Linked DNA regions of Diceros bicornis minor. Each later gene encodes a partner of the first gene's protein in a complex. Links are inferred from orthologs where the notes say so. Each region holds a gene or a part of one and is shown on either strand. Other genes may lie near its edges.

What was found.
Region 2: DRC3 (region 1) and IQCD share a complex: the UniProt entries of both Homo sapiens proteins name them as parts of the nexin-dynein regulatory complex. The link is inferred for Diceros bicornis minor from reciprocal best matches to the Homo sapiens genes DRC3 and DRC10.

What each region holds. Positions count from the first base shown.
Region 1 is NC_080757.1:1,376,860-1,384,618, forward strand, and holds the start of DRC3 (dynein regulatory complex subunit 3), read left to right. Parts: upstream 1-4,654; 5' UTR 4,655-4,910; intron 4,911-5,122; 5' UTR 5,123-5,192; intron 5,193-5,321; 5' UTR 5,322-5,435; intron 5,436-7,759. Other genes in the region: TOM1L2 (TOM1-like protein 2), read right to left, coding at 3,890-3,941. UniProt on the Homo sapiens protein: Component of the nexin-dynein regulatory complex (N-DRC) a key regulator of ciliary/flagellar motility which maintains the alignment and integrity of the distal axoneme and regulates microtubule sliding in motile axonemes.
Region 2 is NC_080774.1:11,197,900-11,206,074, reverse strand, and holds the start of IQCD (dynein regulatory complex protein 10), read left to right. Parts: upstream 1-4,962; 5' UTR 4,963-5,021; intron 5,022-8,175. Other genes in the region: TPCN1 (two pore channel protein 1), read right to left, coding at 1,402-1,513. UniProt on the Homo sapiens protein: Component of the nexin-dynein regulatory complex (N-DRC), a key regulator of ciliary/flagellar motility which maintains the alignment and integrity of the distal axoneme and regulates microtubule sliding in motile axonemes.

The DNA.
Region 1 (7,759 bases):
TGTGTATCTCACAGGGTTGTAAAGACTAAATAAAAAGATTGAAGCAAAAGGGCTTTGTGAATTGCCAACTGCCATAGCAATCTGAGGGACGACTAATCAGCCTTGGTACAAACAGCCACACTAGAGTCAAACGCTAGCATTCACAGGGCACTAGGAAGCAGTTTACGTCCAACACCATCCAATCTGCAAACACAAACCCACAACAGAATATCTGCTGCTTACACGTTTATTAAAGCAGAACCACGAAGAGAATAAATGATCTTCCCTGCCCACCCCCAATATTCTGTTCAGAGTTAACTAGCTACTCTCTGATCCTTTAACCTAAATGAACCCAAACTTGACTCTTGGAAAAGGATTATCTGAAAGTGTTTTCCAGCCACCACAAGGAAAACCGCAGACACCTGCAGAGCACCATGGCCCTGACTCAGGGAACTCCTGACGTGTGAATCCAACGCCAGCGGTCATCCAAATCCCAGCGGTCGTGCAGGGCTGAGACAAGACAGTAACGTTCTGAAACTTGTTTCAGGAGAGAAAAATCAGGAAATAAAAGTAAGTGCTTTTTCTTTCTCCACACTCCTTAGGCTCGTACACCACTGCAGCTCTGTCCGGAACGACGCATCCTACTCAGGAGCCACCTTCCGGGGCAGGGCTGACGTGAGAATTGCACAGATGACCAAGTCAGACTGTGGGCTTAGCTGCTAGCTCAAGAGGGCAGACTGTGTCTTTGAGCAAACAGCACCAAGTCAGAATGTGCCTGTGAGGCCCAGGCAGGAGACAAAGTAACAATTACTCTACTGACACTCAGACTAGGAGCCTACTGCTTTGCAGCTCCAGGATACCTTTGGTGACGTGATACCTCTGCTGAAGGCTCCCTGACAGCAACTCTTTAATATCTGTATGCCAGAGCCTGGCACTCCACAGGCACTCAAAACGCCTCCTGAATTGGACTGATGGAATTATTTAGGTCCAAGCCCTGTGCAGCTGTTGAGAGGTATTCTTTTTTGAGGAAAATAAGGTTCAGGGAGAGTAAAAGCTGAAGTCAGCTAAAGAATCTCGTCTTTGATGTCACCCAGCCAGAACAGGGCTTCACCCTGGGCCAAAAGCGTACCTGCCACTGTTGCCCACAGCCACCTCTGTTCCCCTCAGACTGGCGCTCACAGACGTGCCCACACCCTTCCTGCCTCCTTTACCTGTCCCCAGGCATAGATGTCTCCTTCTCTCACTGGAGAAGTCACACCCATCCTCATGAACAGCCCTTGGACTCAAGGAAGCCAATCCCACCCCCCCGGCTCTTCTGAATTCCTTTGGACTCCAAACAGCACTGACAGTCCCCACCACTCGACTGAGCACTGAGCTACGGAGTGGCCTTCTGTTAGTCGTCATTGTTCCATACACCTCTCTTCTCTCCCCTGACACCAGAAAGCCCTTGAGGACCGGGACAGTTGTGAAATCCCAGCTCTCCCTCTTACCAGCTGAGCCATCCCTTCACTCCTTGAGCCTCAGATTCCTCATCTCTAAAGTGAGAAGGACAATAAAACCCACTTCACAGAGCAGCTGTAAGGAGCAAACAATGGCTGTAGAACTGCTGTGTGTAAGCTATCACTGCTGCATTTCATCATTAGCTCTGCGGTTGTTTTATTTCTGTATGCCCCTCCCTCCCATCAACCCCCAGCACATACTTTTAAAAGAATACTAACAATACTACATGTCAAGAAAGCCACTTTTACACTTTGTCACAACAGTACAGAATAGACATTAGTACCTCATTCTGTCCTCTAATCATTGATCAGAACTGAACTGACTGTGAAATGACCTAGGCCTTGCCTGCTGACTAAGTGGCAATGAGGAGGCTTCATTCCCTTTGTGGTCCAGTGTCTGTTATAAGGGATGGTGGATGCTGGGGCCTGGAAGGGTATTTTCCTTCACAGGTCACAGACAGGCCAGCTGTCCCTCATATCCTCTCCAGGGAGAAAATCCAGCCCTAACTTCATGATTCTGTGTGAGCAGTGACAGCCCCAGTTCACTGAGCCTCAGCTGTGTTCCAGGCACTGTGGTAAGAGTTGACACGCATCATCTCACTTAAGCCGCACTACTCTGTGAGTACCTATCAACCTCTCTCTCTCAGCAAACTAAGGCTCAGAAGGGTTACACAATCTTCTGGGGTCACACAGCCAACAAATGGACAAGGTAAGATTCAACTCAGGTCTTCCTGACAGAAGCATCATGCTCTTTCCATTCACTACATTCCCCTACATCCCTTATATTTGTATATTTTTAAATCCCCTTTAACTTCTACCCCTCATCAAATACCTTGGCATTTCAAAGGTGTAGAGCTTCCTACTGTAAAAGAGACAGAAAAGAAAAAAAAAATCCCCCAAGCTTACTGGCTCCCTCCAAAAACTGGTTGGAATTCAACACCCAACTGAGAAATTAGTTTTTGGAGTATGGCTGCAGTGAACGAACACCTGAGGAAAGGAAATGAGGAAGAAAGGGGCGTGAAAACCTAGAGGAACACGGGAGGTAGTCCACAGAGATGGGAAAAGACTCTTCCCAAGCCCAGTGTCCACCATCCCTTACCAAAGACGTTTCACCACAGAGAAAAGAAAGGCTCCCAAATGCCAGCTAGCCAACAGAAGAGACCTCAGTAATTTCACAGGCCCCACTCAAGGCTGAAACATAAGCTGGAAATTCATAAGTAAAGCAGAAAATAAACAAGTCACTTCTGCCCAAACCAGCCAGGCCCATAAGGACACCAAAGCTCCCTGCTGATAAAAGACCTTTTACCAGCCCCTCCACAAACCAGGAGGAACTCAGTTTTAAAAGAAACTAATCAACGTTCTTGACTGAGCACTTGGCATAAGCTCCTGCCTTGGGTGAAAAGGCAAGTTGCTTTTTCAGTAAGGAAATCTCATATGGTGGCCACACAGGTGTCCCTTCACTAGCCTTGGGCTTTCCTTACCCAGGATACTGGTCATCTCTGGTGCCCTCTTCCGGGGACCCAGAGCCCCCTATAGGATTAACAGGTACTGCCAAGTACCCCTCTCTCTACACTGCCACCAAAAGATTTCATCTTTGGCAAATTTAATGTAGCAAGAAAGCAACAGTCAATGTGCAGAGGTTGCTACAAGGACTATCAAAACTTGAGCATTTGAAGGGACCTACCACATCTCACCTCCAAACACCTCATTTGACAGACAGGAAAAACGTGAAGCCAGAAAGGGCAAGGTCATAGGGAGGATAACTGGCAAAGGCTCCACTGGAGCCCAGGCTTCCTGATTCCCAGTCCAGGGCTCTTATCATTGAATAGCACGGCCCCCCTTCTTCCCGGAGGCAGTGCAGGCATGCCAGCCCCCCTGCCAAGATCGTCACCCTCTAGGAACCCCTCCCCCTTCCCAGTCCCTCCTACGGCCTAGCCTAGCCGAGTTGCAGCTCTAATTAGCAAGTCTCAGGGCAGGGAGCGTTCTCTGGGAGGGTGCCCAGTCCGCGGGCTGCTGGTCTGAAAAGGAGGAGCAGGGATGCAGGGAGAGGCGTCTGGGAGAACCGGGTCCCGGCGGCAGTGGCAGCGAGACTGTCGGGCTGGACAAGGGCGCACGCAGTGGCATCTCCCAGGAGGCGCGGGGTAGGCCGACAGCGCGGGCACCACCTCCAGGAGCCGGGGGGAGCCGGGCCCCGAGGGGGAGGGCCGCGCGGAGCATCTCCAAGTCCCAGCTGGCCTCGGGGCGCCGCCTGGCAGGGTGGCACCGACGCCGTGAGCAGGCCCGGCCCGCCCGCGGGCAGGGGCCCGGCGACCAGGAGGTGGCCCCGGTGCCCGCAGAGGCCCGTGGTCCTCTCCGGCCCTGTCAGCCGCCGCCGTCGCCCAACCAGACGCCCTCCCTTCGCGCGGCCTTACCGAGGCACTGCCCCACCGGGGTGCTGAACGGGTTGCCCAGGAGGAACTCCATCTTGAGCGGTCAGCACGGCAGCCGTCCAGAGCCCTGTTAGCCGGCTGGTCTCCGCTGTACCCCGCCGCGCTCCCGACCTGACTGACACTTGCCCCCGCCCCACCCTCTAGAGCGCCGAACGCGCGGCCCCTGACCCCGCCCCCTTGTCGCGTCCCTATTGGGCAACGCCTGCCCTGCCCTCCTCCGATTGGGCCCTACGGCTTCCCGAGCGAAGCCCCACCTACCCCGCGCTGTCCGATTGGGCGGAGGAGTGAGCTCAGTCACAGGAACCTCCCTCAGGCGTAGTGACACCGCCCCTGGCCCGCCTCCGAACGAGAGTTTGTGCGCTTTGATTCCTTTATATATTGGTCAAGCTAGGGAATCCTTATGATTATTGGAGAACAGACGAGTCAATCACTCAAATAGGGGGCGGGGAAGAGGCGGGGCTAAGTATATCCCCGCCCGTAGAAAGTGCTGATTGGAGAAACATTTGTTTTCTCTCCGGCTGGTTGGTGGCAGGAGTATTCCCCCGCCCAGAAACGTGGTCACGTGCCCCCTCAACTTTCACTCAGGATGTCAATCTTCTGACTTCCCGTTAGCAACGGAGTGGTGGCGCTTGGTTTCCCTAGCAACCGGGCAAAGTGGCTGCTGCGTGGAACCAGCCCGGTAGCCCGCGCTTGAGAAGGTGAGATCCGAAGCTGAGGTTCCGGGAGGACTCGCAGGGGCAGACAGCGCCCCGACGTAATTCTCTGACCTTTTACTCCGAGAAGTGCGGCCGGCCCTTATCATCTGCAAAATGAGCACACAGATCCCCTGCCAGCCACTTTGCAGCGGCGCTGAGACAGTCAGAACGCTAGTACCCGGGCTTTCAGGCCTGCGGATGAGAAAAAAAGGCTAAGGAAGCATTTCCTTGGGGAGCAGGGCTCGAAGAGATGTTTAAGGGGTTCCATCTCCCAGCCTCCTGGCCTGATCCCTTTCGTAGAAACAAAGGTACCCGAAAGAAAGATCCACTGATAACTTCTTCAAGAATTTAATCCTCATATCCGACCTCTTAACTGTCGTTAAATTATTTCTCTTATTTTTATTCTTCATCTTGGTGCTGTATAAAGTGCTTTGGGTGGGAATATGGATACTCAAGTTCCATGTCTGTCTCTTGTCAGTAGTTCCTTGTATGACTGTGGACAATTTCCTTTCCCTTCCAGGTCTCAGTTTCCCCATCTGGGAAGTTAGGGCATTAGGACTCCCTTCTCTGATGGCGTCCGGAGCTGACAGGTAATTAAATGACACATGTGCACTTAGTACCCAGTAAGCACTCAGTAAATGGTTGATTTTCTTCTTATTAATTCATCGCCAATAGGGGCTATATTTTTCAGATCCAATTAATCCCAGGTTGTTTCCCAGGACAATTCTGGATCTGTTTCTCCTGAGGAGGCTACTCCACTGACAGTGATGTAAAACTCTCCACTGCCTTCCCCGTCTCCAACCTCTGATCTACAGTGACAACACTGTCCTCAGGCAAGTCAACAGGAACCCAGATTGGGTGGTAAATTACTGATAAAATCCTCTTAAGGGAAGAGAATTCGGGCCTTGGCCCTGACCCAGAACAGCTGTGAGAAACATTGTGACAATGTTAGAGCTGTGACAGTGACAGTCCACAGTACCCTGGGTACAGTTGAGTCATGGTTAAGAAATTGGGCTCTGGAGTCATGTTCTCCTGCCTCTGCCGTATACATGTGTAAACTTGTGCATGTTACTTAACCTTTCTAACTAGCTTCCATTTTCTTATCTGAAAACTGCAGATGATCAGTCCCGCATGTAAATTAAGTTCCTAGAGATCTCTCAAATCCACATCTTACCACCAACCACCCTGGGCATCTCTCACGTCACGACTCTTGCCATTCTCAGTACTACAGCCAGAGAGAGCTTCTTAAAATTAAAATCTGATCATGCCACTGCTCTTATTAAGGCCCAGGAGCTTCCCAGGGGTCCCAGGATAATAATTGAACTCCTGTCGACCTTTTCAACCTTGCGTTGCTTCAGCCAAAGTGGAACATGTCTTGTTCTCTCCCACCTCAGGGCCCTCACTATGCGATTCCCTTTCTTCTTTCCACTCCTCCTTCAGATCTCAGCCCCATCTCCTCCGGCCAGGCCAGGTGCCCCTAATGTATGCTGTCAGAGTTCCCTACACCTACAAACTTGTCACTGTTTGTAATTAAACATTTCTTTGATTATCTGATTCATGTCTGAAACAGAGGTAAGGAGATCTGTCTGTTTTATTCATAGTATGTAGTAGCTATTCATTACGTGTGTGGACTAAATAAATGATCTTAAACAAATGTAGGAAGGAGGAATTATTCATCTTTTACAGATGGGAAATCGAGGGCTTAGACAGGTGAAGTGAGTTGCCAAAGGATGCACAGTCAGGATCCAAATCCTGCCCTTGTGTGCATAACAGCTGTTCCATGTTGCATAGCCATTGTCGGGCTTGACTGAAGGCAAGCTTGATCTGTCACAGGTGCCAGGCCTTGACGACGTGGGAGGGATGAGAAGTCAAAGTTTTGAAATCAGAATTTAGAATCATTTCCCAAAGTGCAGCACCTTTCTTTAAAAAAACACAAACACTTTGCAGGTAACATCTGCCAAATGCAGCACAGTAAAATTTCCCCAAAGGCAAGCTATGGGAAATCTTGGAAAAATTTGTTTCAGAAGAGTAGGGAGATGGAGAGAGGCAGAGGACTGGAAACATCTTCAGGAGGTGAATCAATCACCCTAAGGAGATAGAGCCAGTGTTGACAGATTGGAGAGAATGGGAAGATGGAAGGCACAAGTGGAAAAGGGGTGTGGGGGGAGGGAGGAGGGTGTAGGTAGTGGGTAGGAGAGGCTGTGCCTCCTCTGGGGACAGAAAGAAAGGACACATAAGAGTTAAAGGCACTAGGACATTTGATTGTGGACAGTCCAGAAATGAAAGATGCATATGTGCATAAGCTGCATCCAAGTGGATGGTGGGGGAGGAGGGAGGGAGGGCAGCCAGGCAGTGGCAGTCTCTAAGACCAGGTGGCAGGATTGCCAGGCCCACCTGGGTTTGCGGTGGACACCATCAGTCCACCGCCAGGAGTCTCTCCAACAGCGCTCAGTAGAATAAAGAGCAGAACACAGGGGCTGCCCAGCATCAGGGACCAGAAGGCAGGAGGTTCAGGGAGGCCAGGATATTGGGGATGCACCTGGACAAAGGTAGAAGGTGAAGCCGGCAGGGAAGTGAGAAGCAGAGGTGGAAAGCAGAAGGGAGGACCTAGTTTCCACAGGGTGTAGGAGGCAGAATCTGGAAGTTTCCAGTAGACTGATAGGAGAGGGTGCCTTCCTGCAGCATCCAGCGCTTCTGGATGTTCTCATTAAGAGGGTTAGTGATGAGAATGATGTCAGGCACCCCAGCTTCCCAGGGCTGTGGCTTTGTCCAGCCAGGAATAGCAGCCCAGTGTCAGCCTCACAGTGTGAGTGAACAAGTCCACAGATTTCCCCTTTGCCTGTGGTATTTCAGCCAAATCCCCTTGGACCGTTAGCGACAGAAACCTACTGGAGTTAGTTTAAGTAAAAGAAGATTTAATGCGAGAAGTCAGGACACTCTCACAGGAGAGGAAGAAGCCCTCACAGGTCCTGGAATTAGGGACATTAGGGGCCAGAAAGCTAGCAAGGAGAAGGCAGTCTCTATGTCAGTCTGTCTGTCTTTTTGTCTTTTTTTTTACTGGATCCCATCTCTGCTTCTCTCTGTCTGCCTCATCCCTCTCTTGCTCTCTCTGCTTAACCACGTGCCTGGCCAGTCCACGGTCCCCCAGTTCCTCCCC
Region 2 (8,175 bases), on another chromosome or scaffold:
GAGAAGCGGGAAAAGGAGAGGGAGGAGAGGAGAGGAGAGGAAAAAAGGGAGGAGGAGGAAGGGAAGGAACTTTGGAGTCAGACAGACCTGGGTTCAAATCTCTGCTCAACCACGTGCTTGGCTGTGTGACCTTGGGCAAGTTTCTTAACCTCTCTGACTTAGTATCCTCCTCTGTAAAATAGGGATAATACCGCCTACTTTGAAAAGGATCTTAGTGAAGGTAACAGATGAGAAAGAGCCTATCACTTAGCTTGAGAGCTCTAGGGCATTTAAGAAGTGTGCCTGAAATCAGAGCCACCGGTTTCTCAGCCCTGAATGGTGCTTAGAGAAAAATCTGGTTTACATTCTAACCTTCCTGGACCACCAGCTCTGCCGCCCTAGACAGGGTGAACGGCAGCGGAGAGGCCAGGCTACAGGGAGCCAGGCCGCCCGCGGCACTCCCATCTACAGGAACACTGCCCTCCTTCATCACTTCTGAGGGGAGGCTGCTGAGCTCCGGTACCCAACTGCGTTCTCTCCGGACAAAGGAGACGGCAGAGCCAGGCTCGTCTTTCCCCACACCCAGTGTCTTCACTTGTGAACTGGAGGAGGGCAATACCCCTCTGTCCTAGCTCCGGAGCACAGGGCGGGTGGAACACCCATTGGCTAAGAAGACCACAAAGCGCCAGTCCCTGCCATCTTAGGACCCTCCACAAAGGGCAAGTTATTTTAAGCCTCTCCTGGGCCCAAGGCCTGAGCAAATGAAGCAAACCGCTTCGGGACAAAGACCAGAAAGGTTTTTAAGGCCTCTCGTTCTGCCAGCAACACATTTAAAATTTTAAAAATTTAAAGCTCGCAACCTCTCTTGGGTTCCCTTTGTGCTAGGCTTTGGTTTAGAGGAAGACAAAGCAAAACCCCAAACCCTCAAATCAATGGATCCTGGCAAAGGCTTGCCCCTTTCCACCCCATTCTGGCAACGCAGGCACCAAGCTCCAACGGAAAGCAGCAGTCAACTCCACTCTCCTGCCAACGGTTTCAGGTTGGGGCAGACGGAGGCGGGTGTTGAAATCGGTTTCCTTTTTTAACAAGGAACTGGGCAGGGAAGTTCCTGGGCAAGGAACCTAGCCTGGGAGCAGGTTAACCTGAAGTCCCCGCCAAGCATCCCCGAACAAAGCCAGGGTACTCAGGTGCCAGGGAGGCAAGGCGCTGATGGGAGCGAGGGCCCCGGGAGGGCAGAGCAGCCCCCGGAAGCATCCAGAAGCTGGGATTAGGACCCCACAGTCTCCCAGTAGTTTGTGAGAACCTGGAGCCAAATGTGGGGTCAGGAATTAGGGTACACACATCTACTATCAGACCACCACGCCCACAACTCGCCCCTTGAAATAGAAAAGTTGCCCCCCACCAGCCCACCCCACGTCTTACTTCTGCTGGGCAGCTCCTCTCGGCCCAGGCTGTTGGACGGAGCCAGTGGGGCACTGCCACCCTCGTCCAGGGTCAGGATGAGGGGCACGTCGTCATCCAAACTCACAGCCATATGCTCTCTTCTCCTACAGCCCTCAGGATGCGATGTCCAGGGCTTCAAACAGCCTCTGCTTGGAGCTCCCTTTCAAAGCCACTGGCCCAGAGGTGCTTCTCAGAAACTCCTCCATTAGAGACATCTTCTAGACAATAAAAGATAGACAGGGATAAAGAGAGAGATACAGATGAAAAAGAAAGAGAGACAATTATCAGAATACAACCACTACTGATGAAAATGTTCTGGAATTAGATGGTGGCAATGGTTGCATAACCTTGTGAATATACTAAAGACCACTGAATTGCACCCTTTAAAATGGTGGATTTTATGATATGTGAATTATATCTCAAAAAAATAAAGAAAAATATTGCAATACAATAGCATTAAAATATGGGGAAAAACTCTGCACGAACAAAATCTGAAAGTTAGGGGTAATTATGTCTGGAGCTTCAGATTCTGGCTATGTTCCCCCTCCACCCACCTTACACTGGTGTTTTGAGTTTTGTAAAGATTTGAGACTTAAAAAAATACAACTGTTAAAATAATAGTAGCTAATACTCAGTGAGCACTTACTGTGTACCAGGTATTCTTACAGCAATTTTTAAGTAAAGCTGATTGAAACTTTATTAATAGACAGGTAGGATTATTATCCTCCATTACAGAGGGGGAGGAGACTTTAGGCTCAGAGAAGTTAAGTAACTTGCCCAAGAACCCACAGCTATAAAGTCAGGCTTTGAACTATGCAATCTGACTCCAGACCCGAGCTCCTAGCCACTACACTAGGATTCCTCCAAGTCCTAGCCCTGGCGTTCAGGCAGCACCTCGCCCCAATGACCCGTAAAGAGGCAGGGTGCCAGGTCATCTATGCTCGCCCACAGCCTTCTCATACAGGTGTTATTCTCCTCGATTTAGAAGCTTGAGGAGGGCCGGCCGTGGCTTAGCGGTTAAGTGCGCGCACTCTACTGCTGGCGGCCCGGGTTCGGATCCCGGGCGCGCACAGATGCACCGCTTCTCCGGCCATGCTGAGGCCGCGTCCCACGTGCAGCAACTGGAAGGATGTGCAGCTGTGACATACAACTATCTACTGGGGCTTTGGGGGGAAAAAATAAATAAATAAAAATCTTTAGAAGTTTGAGGAGGAGGGCGAAGAGAACAAGAGTGTTTTTTTAAATGATGTCCAGAGTCACACAGCAAAAGCGCTCATCCTGAACTCTCAACTGAAAACGCTCAGAACTAGGCAGTTACAGGTCCTATTTATACACATTCCCATTTCCGCTGAGGAGGGCCAAAAGAAAAGCAAAGACTCAGCAGATCTGATAGCAGACCTTTGACCTTGAAAACAGCAGCAGATTCCTTCCTCCAGCTGGACCCTTCTGGGCTTAGTCAACTTTGCCTCCCAACTCGCCCACTGAATGGCCACCTGGAAATTGACCTCTTCCACAAATCATCAGAATAACCCCAAGCAGACCCCTGTGCATCAACATCCTCTCAAAACAAGGTAGCAAAAGTGAGCACCATTCCCTTTACTGCTAAGCCTGCAGCTCTCAGCCCCGCAAACTTCCTGTGAGATTTTTTAACATTTCCTCCAGATCTGGGGACCTATTCTGCTTTTAAATCTCAGTTGTGGGGAGACAGAAGAGGAAACCCCAAATGAGACACTACCATTAGACTGTCTTAAGAATTACGTGTTTTGGGGCTTTTTTTTTTTTCTTGGTTTAACGTTCTACCACAGGTATTTTCAAACATACTCAGAAGTAGAGAGAATATGTAAATGAATTTCTTTGTATCCATCACTCAGCTTTGACAATTATCAATATCTTTGTCATTCTTTCTCGAATTTATTTTGAGGACAGGAGACTCTATTAACCGTCTGAACTCAAGAAGAGGTTTCTGATCATTATCATCATAACGGCTAGTGGCTTTCATTTTAACTGTTTAATATATAACTGCTTGTATGCATTGTCTTGGCCCTGTGGCTCTCAACTGGGGTGATTTTGTACTCTGGGAGACACTAGCAACATATGGAGACATTTTTGATTGTCACAACTTGGGGGTGGGGGGGTTAGAGGGAGAGGCCAGGAACCCAGCTGAACATCCTACAATGCACAGGTGAGTCCCACCACAACACAGAAACATGTGGCTGAGAACGTCAGTAGTGCTGCTGTTCAGAAATCCTATTTCATTAATATCCCCACTTTACAGATGAGGAAGCTGAGGCTTGGAGGAGATAACTCAACTTGCCTCTTGTAGGTAAACAGCAGGGAAGTGGTGGAGACCAGAGTCGAATCCGAACAGATGAATTCAGGGACCTTTCCCGGCTGGACCCTATACCGCCTCCCAGGAACAGGCTCCCAATTTGAATTCAAGCCCATCGTGTTACAGAGAGGGAAAAGTGAGGCCCAGAGGGGACAAGCCACTTGACCAAGGTCACACAGTGCAGGACTCCTGAGTCCCAGCCCCGTGTTCCTTCCGCGGGCTTTGCTTCTGGCTCTCTAGAGGACCCAGAAGGGAAGGGTCACCCCTGGGGACACGTCCCAGGAAAGAGGGCCAGCAGCCTGACCGGGGCACGAGTCTCTGGCGGGCTGGGTCGCCTGAGGGCGCCAGGAAGAGGAGCAGACGAGGGAGGAGGAGCGGGGAGAGAAGTGCGGGCTCCGGCTCCACGTGCTCCAGCCCCGGTCTGGGCCCCGCGTGGGGGTCGCCCCGGGAAGCCAGGGGGCGAGCAGAGGGGGTACAAAGCCCGGGCCCGGGCTGGAGGGAGAGAAGCCCAGCGATGACTTCCCCGCAGCCCCTCTGGGCCCGCCCAGCCCGCCTCCCACACCCCAGCGCCCAGCCGCAACCCCTTACTCCGCGCCCTCTGGCCCCTGACCCCTGCCCTCTCAGGCAGCCCAGCCCCCGTCCCACTCGGATTCTTACACGCGCCGCCCCAGCAACCCGGACCGCGCGCCAGGGTCCGCACCGCGCAGCCCAGCCCGCCGGCGCCGCCGCCGCCGCCAAAGCCGCGAGCCCGGAGCTCTTGCAGCCGCCGCCGTTTCAGCCGCTGCCACCACAGCAGCTGCGCCAGCTCTCGCGTCCACCTCCTACCGTCCCCTCAACTCCAGCGGCCCCGCCCCATTTCCCCTCCGCCACGGCCTATTGGCTACCTAGGCTGCCATGGTGAACTCTGATTGGCCAAGCCTCACGTCCTTCTCCAGTTCTCGCCCGCTGCCGAGGCAGGACTCCCTACCCGCCTCCTTGTAAAGGGGCGGGACAAAGAAGCCCCGCCCCTTCCCCTTCTGCGCTCCCCGCCTTACTCGTTCGGCCCAACCCAGAGGGCGTCCCGGGTCTTTCAATTGGTGGAGGGTCAGAGAGACGGTGCTCCTGATTGGTCAGGCCTCAGGAGGTGGGGCTAACTGGGCGGAACAAGGAATTGAATGGTGAAGAGGAAAGTCAGTCAGACGCCGAGTCCCGCCTTCCGAGGTGGGTAACCTAGCAACGCAGGTACCGCGGAGGTAACTGTGGGTAGAGAAACCAGGAGCTCTGCGAGCAGGTGAGTGACCAGGTGGGGAAGGGCTAGAGATGACGGGGAGATGTGGAATGGGGTCTACCCGCTATCCTTTGGCTCCCTGAAGAATCCGTAGCCCGCAAGGCGATCCTGTCCCCGCCCCAGGACCGTGCTCTCCAGCCCCTGCCTCTGTCTGGACCTCCCCCTCGACCGCCTGCGAGGACCACTGGACACCCTCTTCGGTGTCTCTGCCTCTCGCCTGCCCGTCCGCGTGTCCACTGCATGGTCCCGCTTCCTCGTCCGTAAAACGTGGGTGATACTAGTCAGATGGAGTCGCATCATAGTTAACTAATTTCAAGTCAAACATAGGTGGTGGGGGTGAGAGGGTAGTTTATAAGCCCCCTACCACTCTACCCAACGGCCAGACATTCTAGCATGAGCGTGCAGTGAAAGGCATCTCACTTGAGTGAGTGTTAAAGTTAGGTCATTTTGATTATACCAATTTTTGCCTTTAGAGTTTAACTCCCACCCTTGTCCTTAAAATGTGATTTTGTTGCACATACTTAAGACAAAGGGTTTGTTGTGAGGACTGAATGAGGTAAGGCAATGGAGAGCTTGGCATGGAGCCCAGCAACATAGTAAGTGCTCATTTAATAGTAGCAATTTTTTTCTAAAACTCACCCATCTTTGACTCTTCTGGCTTAAAACAATTCCAAGGGAGTTATCGTATTCCATATCTTACATATTCATATATTCAACAAGTATTTACTGAGTGCCTACTACTGGGTGCAAGGGTAGAGCAACCAATAAAAAACTTTATTTCTCCCCCCCATGGAGTTTGTCTAATGTGGGAGAGAGTCATTAGTCAAATAATATACAGATAAATGTAAAGTGACACCTGTGGAGATTCACTTCCAGAATGATGGAATGAGGAGGTTGACAAATCTTTTCCTCAAAAAGCAATTATAGTCCATCGATGGATGAATGGATAACTAAAATGTGGTATACGTACAATGGTATATTATTCAACTTTTAAAAGGAATGAAATTCTGATAAATGCTACAACATGGATGAACCTTGAAGACATATGCTGAGTGAAAGAAACCAGACACAAAAGTCATAGAGACAGAAAGTAGAATAGTGGTTGACAGGGGCTGGGGGGAGGGGGAAATGGAGAGTTAGTGTTTAATGGGTACAGAGTTTCAGTTTGGGATGATGAGAAAGTTCTGGAGATGGACAGTGGTGATGGTTGCACAAGATGCGAATGTAATGTTAATGCCACTGCACTGTACACCTAAAATGGTTACAATGGTAAACTTTATATGATGTATATTTTACCACAATAAAGAAAAAGCAACTATGAAGCTGAACAAAACTATCTAGCGCTATATTAGCACTCTGAAAATCAACCAAAGGCATACAACAAACAGAGCATTTATTCGTGAAAACTTCTGAGCCTTAAGTTTGTGATGCACTTACCTGGGGCTTCTCCAGTTTCCCCACCCCCAGTTCTATTTGCATAATAGTTCAACCAGGGCGAGTAGCCCATGAAAACCAGTCTGATGGGGCTCACTTGATTTGGAGCATTGTTGGCTAAACTGGCAGTCTTGGTGGCAAGAGATCAGGGAGAGCCAGCAGCTCCAGAAGTCCAAAGTTGCAGTCCTACTTGGGGACAACAGTGGCCTGACAGCTTAGAATCCTGGGAAGTGAGGCAGCCATAGGGGGCTTGATAAGCTCTCTACATATTCTGGTTGGCCAGGGCTTATGCACATGTGTAGTAGAGACTAGACCAGCCCAGGCCACTTACACATCCCTGGCCAGTGGAGCCTGTGTAGACGAGCAGAGGAGACACAGGGGGGTCCGGCAGAAACTAAGAGTCAAGGCAGACTTGAAAATGACCTGAACATTGACTGCACTCACCAGCAGAGAACAGAAGCCTTACTAGCTCAAAGTGTTAGAGCACAACCTCTGACCAATTTTTGGCTGAATATTAAGCTATGCAGATACAGGGGCGACCCCTAGGAAGCCAGGTTTAGAAATAAAAATGAGAAAAAAAATTGAACAGAGACATCAGTAACCGCACGTTGTGGAGGAGACCAACTCGACAGATTTAGTCCGGGAAGTAACTTAACAAACACCCAAGCAAAACAGTAACAAGGACGACAATCATTAGGAAGAAAAAAAGTTGAAATACAGAGTTGCTACAAATTTTATCTAAAATTTTCAGTAGTCAACAAAAATTGTGAGATGTGCAAAGAAACAAAGAAATGTAAATATCCTCAGGGAAAAAAGCAATCAATAGAAACTGTCTCTGTGTGTCCCCAGATGTCGGCTTTAGCAGACAAAGACTTCAAAGCAGCTATTATAAATACATTCAAAGAACTAAAGGAAACCATGTTTAAAGAATTAAAAAACAGTAGGATAACAATGACTCATCAAATAGAAAATATTTAGTGTTATTCTAAAATAGATTGTGATAATTAAGATGCACATTATAATCCCTAAATCAACCACTAAGAGAATAACTCAAAAAAATAGTTTAAAGATCAACAGAGGAATCAAAACAGTGGGCTAAAAAATATTTATTTAACACAATAAAAGGCAGTAAAGAAGTAACAGGGGAACAAAAAAAGACATGAAATGAGACAAATAAACAACAATAGCAAAATGGCAGATGTAAATCCAACCATATGAATAATTTTATGTAAGTTATTAAGTGTAAATGGAAAAAAACACTTCAATCAAAAGGCAGAGATTGTCAGACCAGATTAAAAAAGCAAGACCCAAATATATGCTTCCTGTAAGAGACACACCTTAGATTCAAAGACACAACTAAGTTGAAAGTAAAAAATTGAGGGGCCAGCCCCATGGCATAGTGGTTAAGTTTGGTGTGCTCCGCTTCAGCAGCCTGGGTTTGCAGGTTCGGATCCCAGGAGCAGACGTACTCCACTCATCAGCCATGCCATGGCGGTGACCCACATATAAAGTGGAGGAAGATTGGCACAGATGTTAACTCAGGGCTAATCTTCCTCAAGCAAAAAAAGAGGAAGATTGGCAACAGATGTTAGCTGGAGCCTAATCTTCCTCAGCAAAAAAAAAAACTAAAAAATTGGAATCAATGCAAACAGTAACCATAAGAGATGTGGAGTGGCTATATTGCTATCAGACAAAATTTATTTTAAAACAAGAAATGTTACTA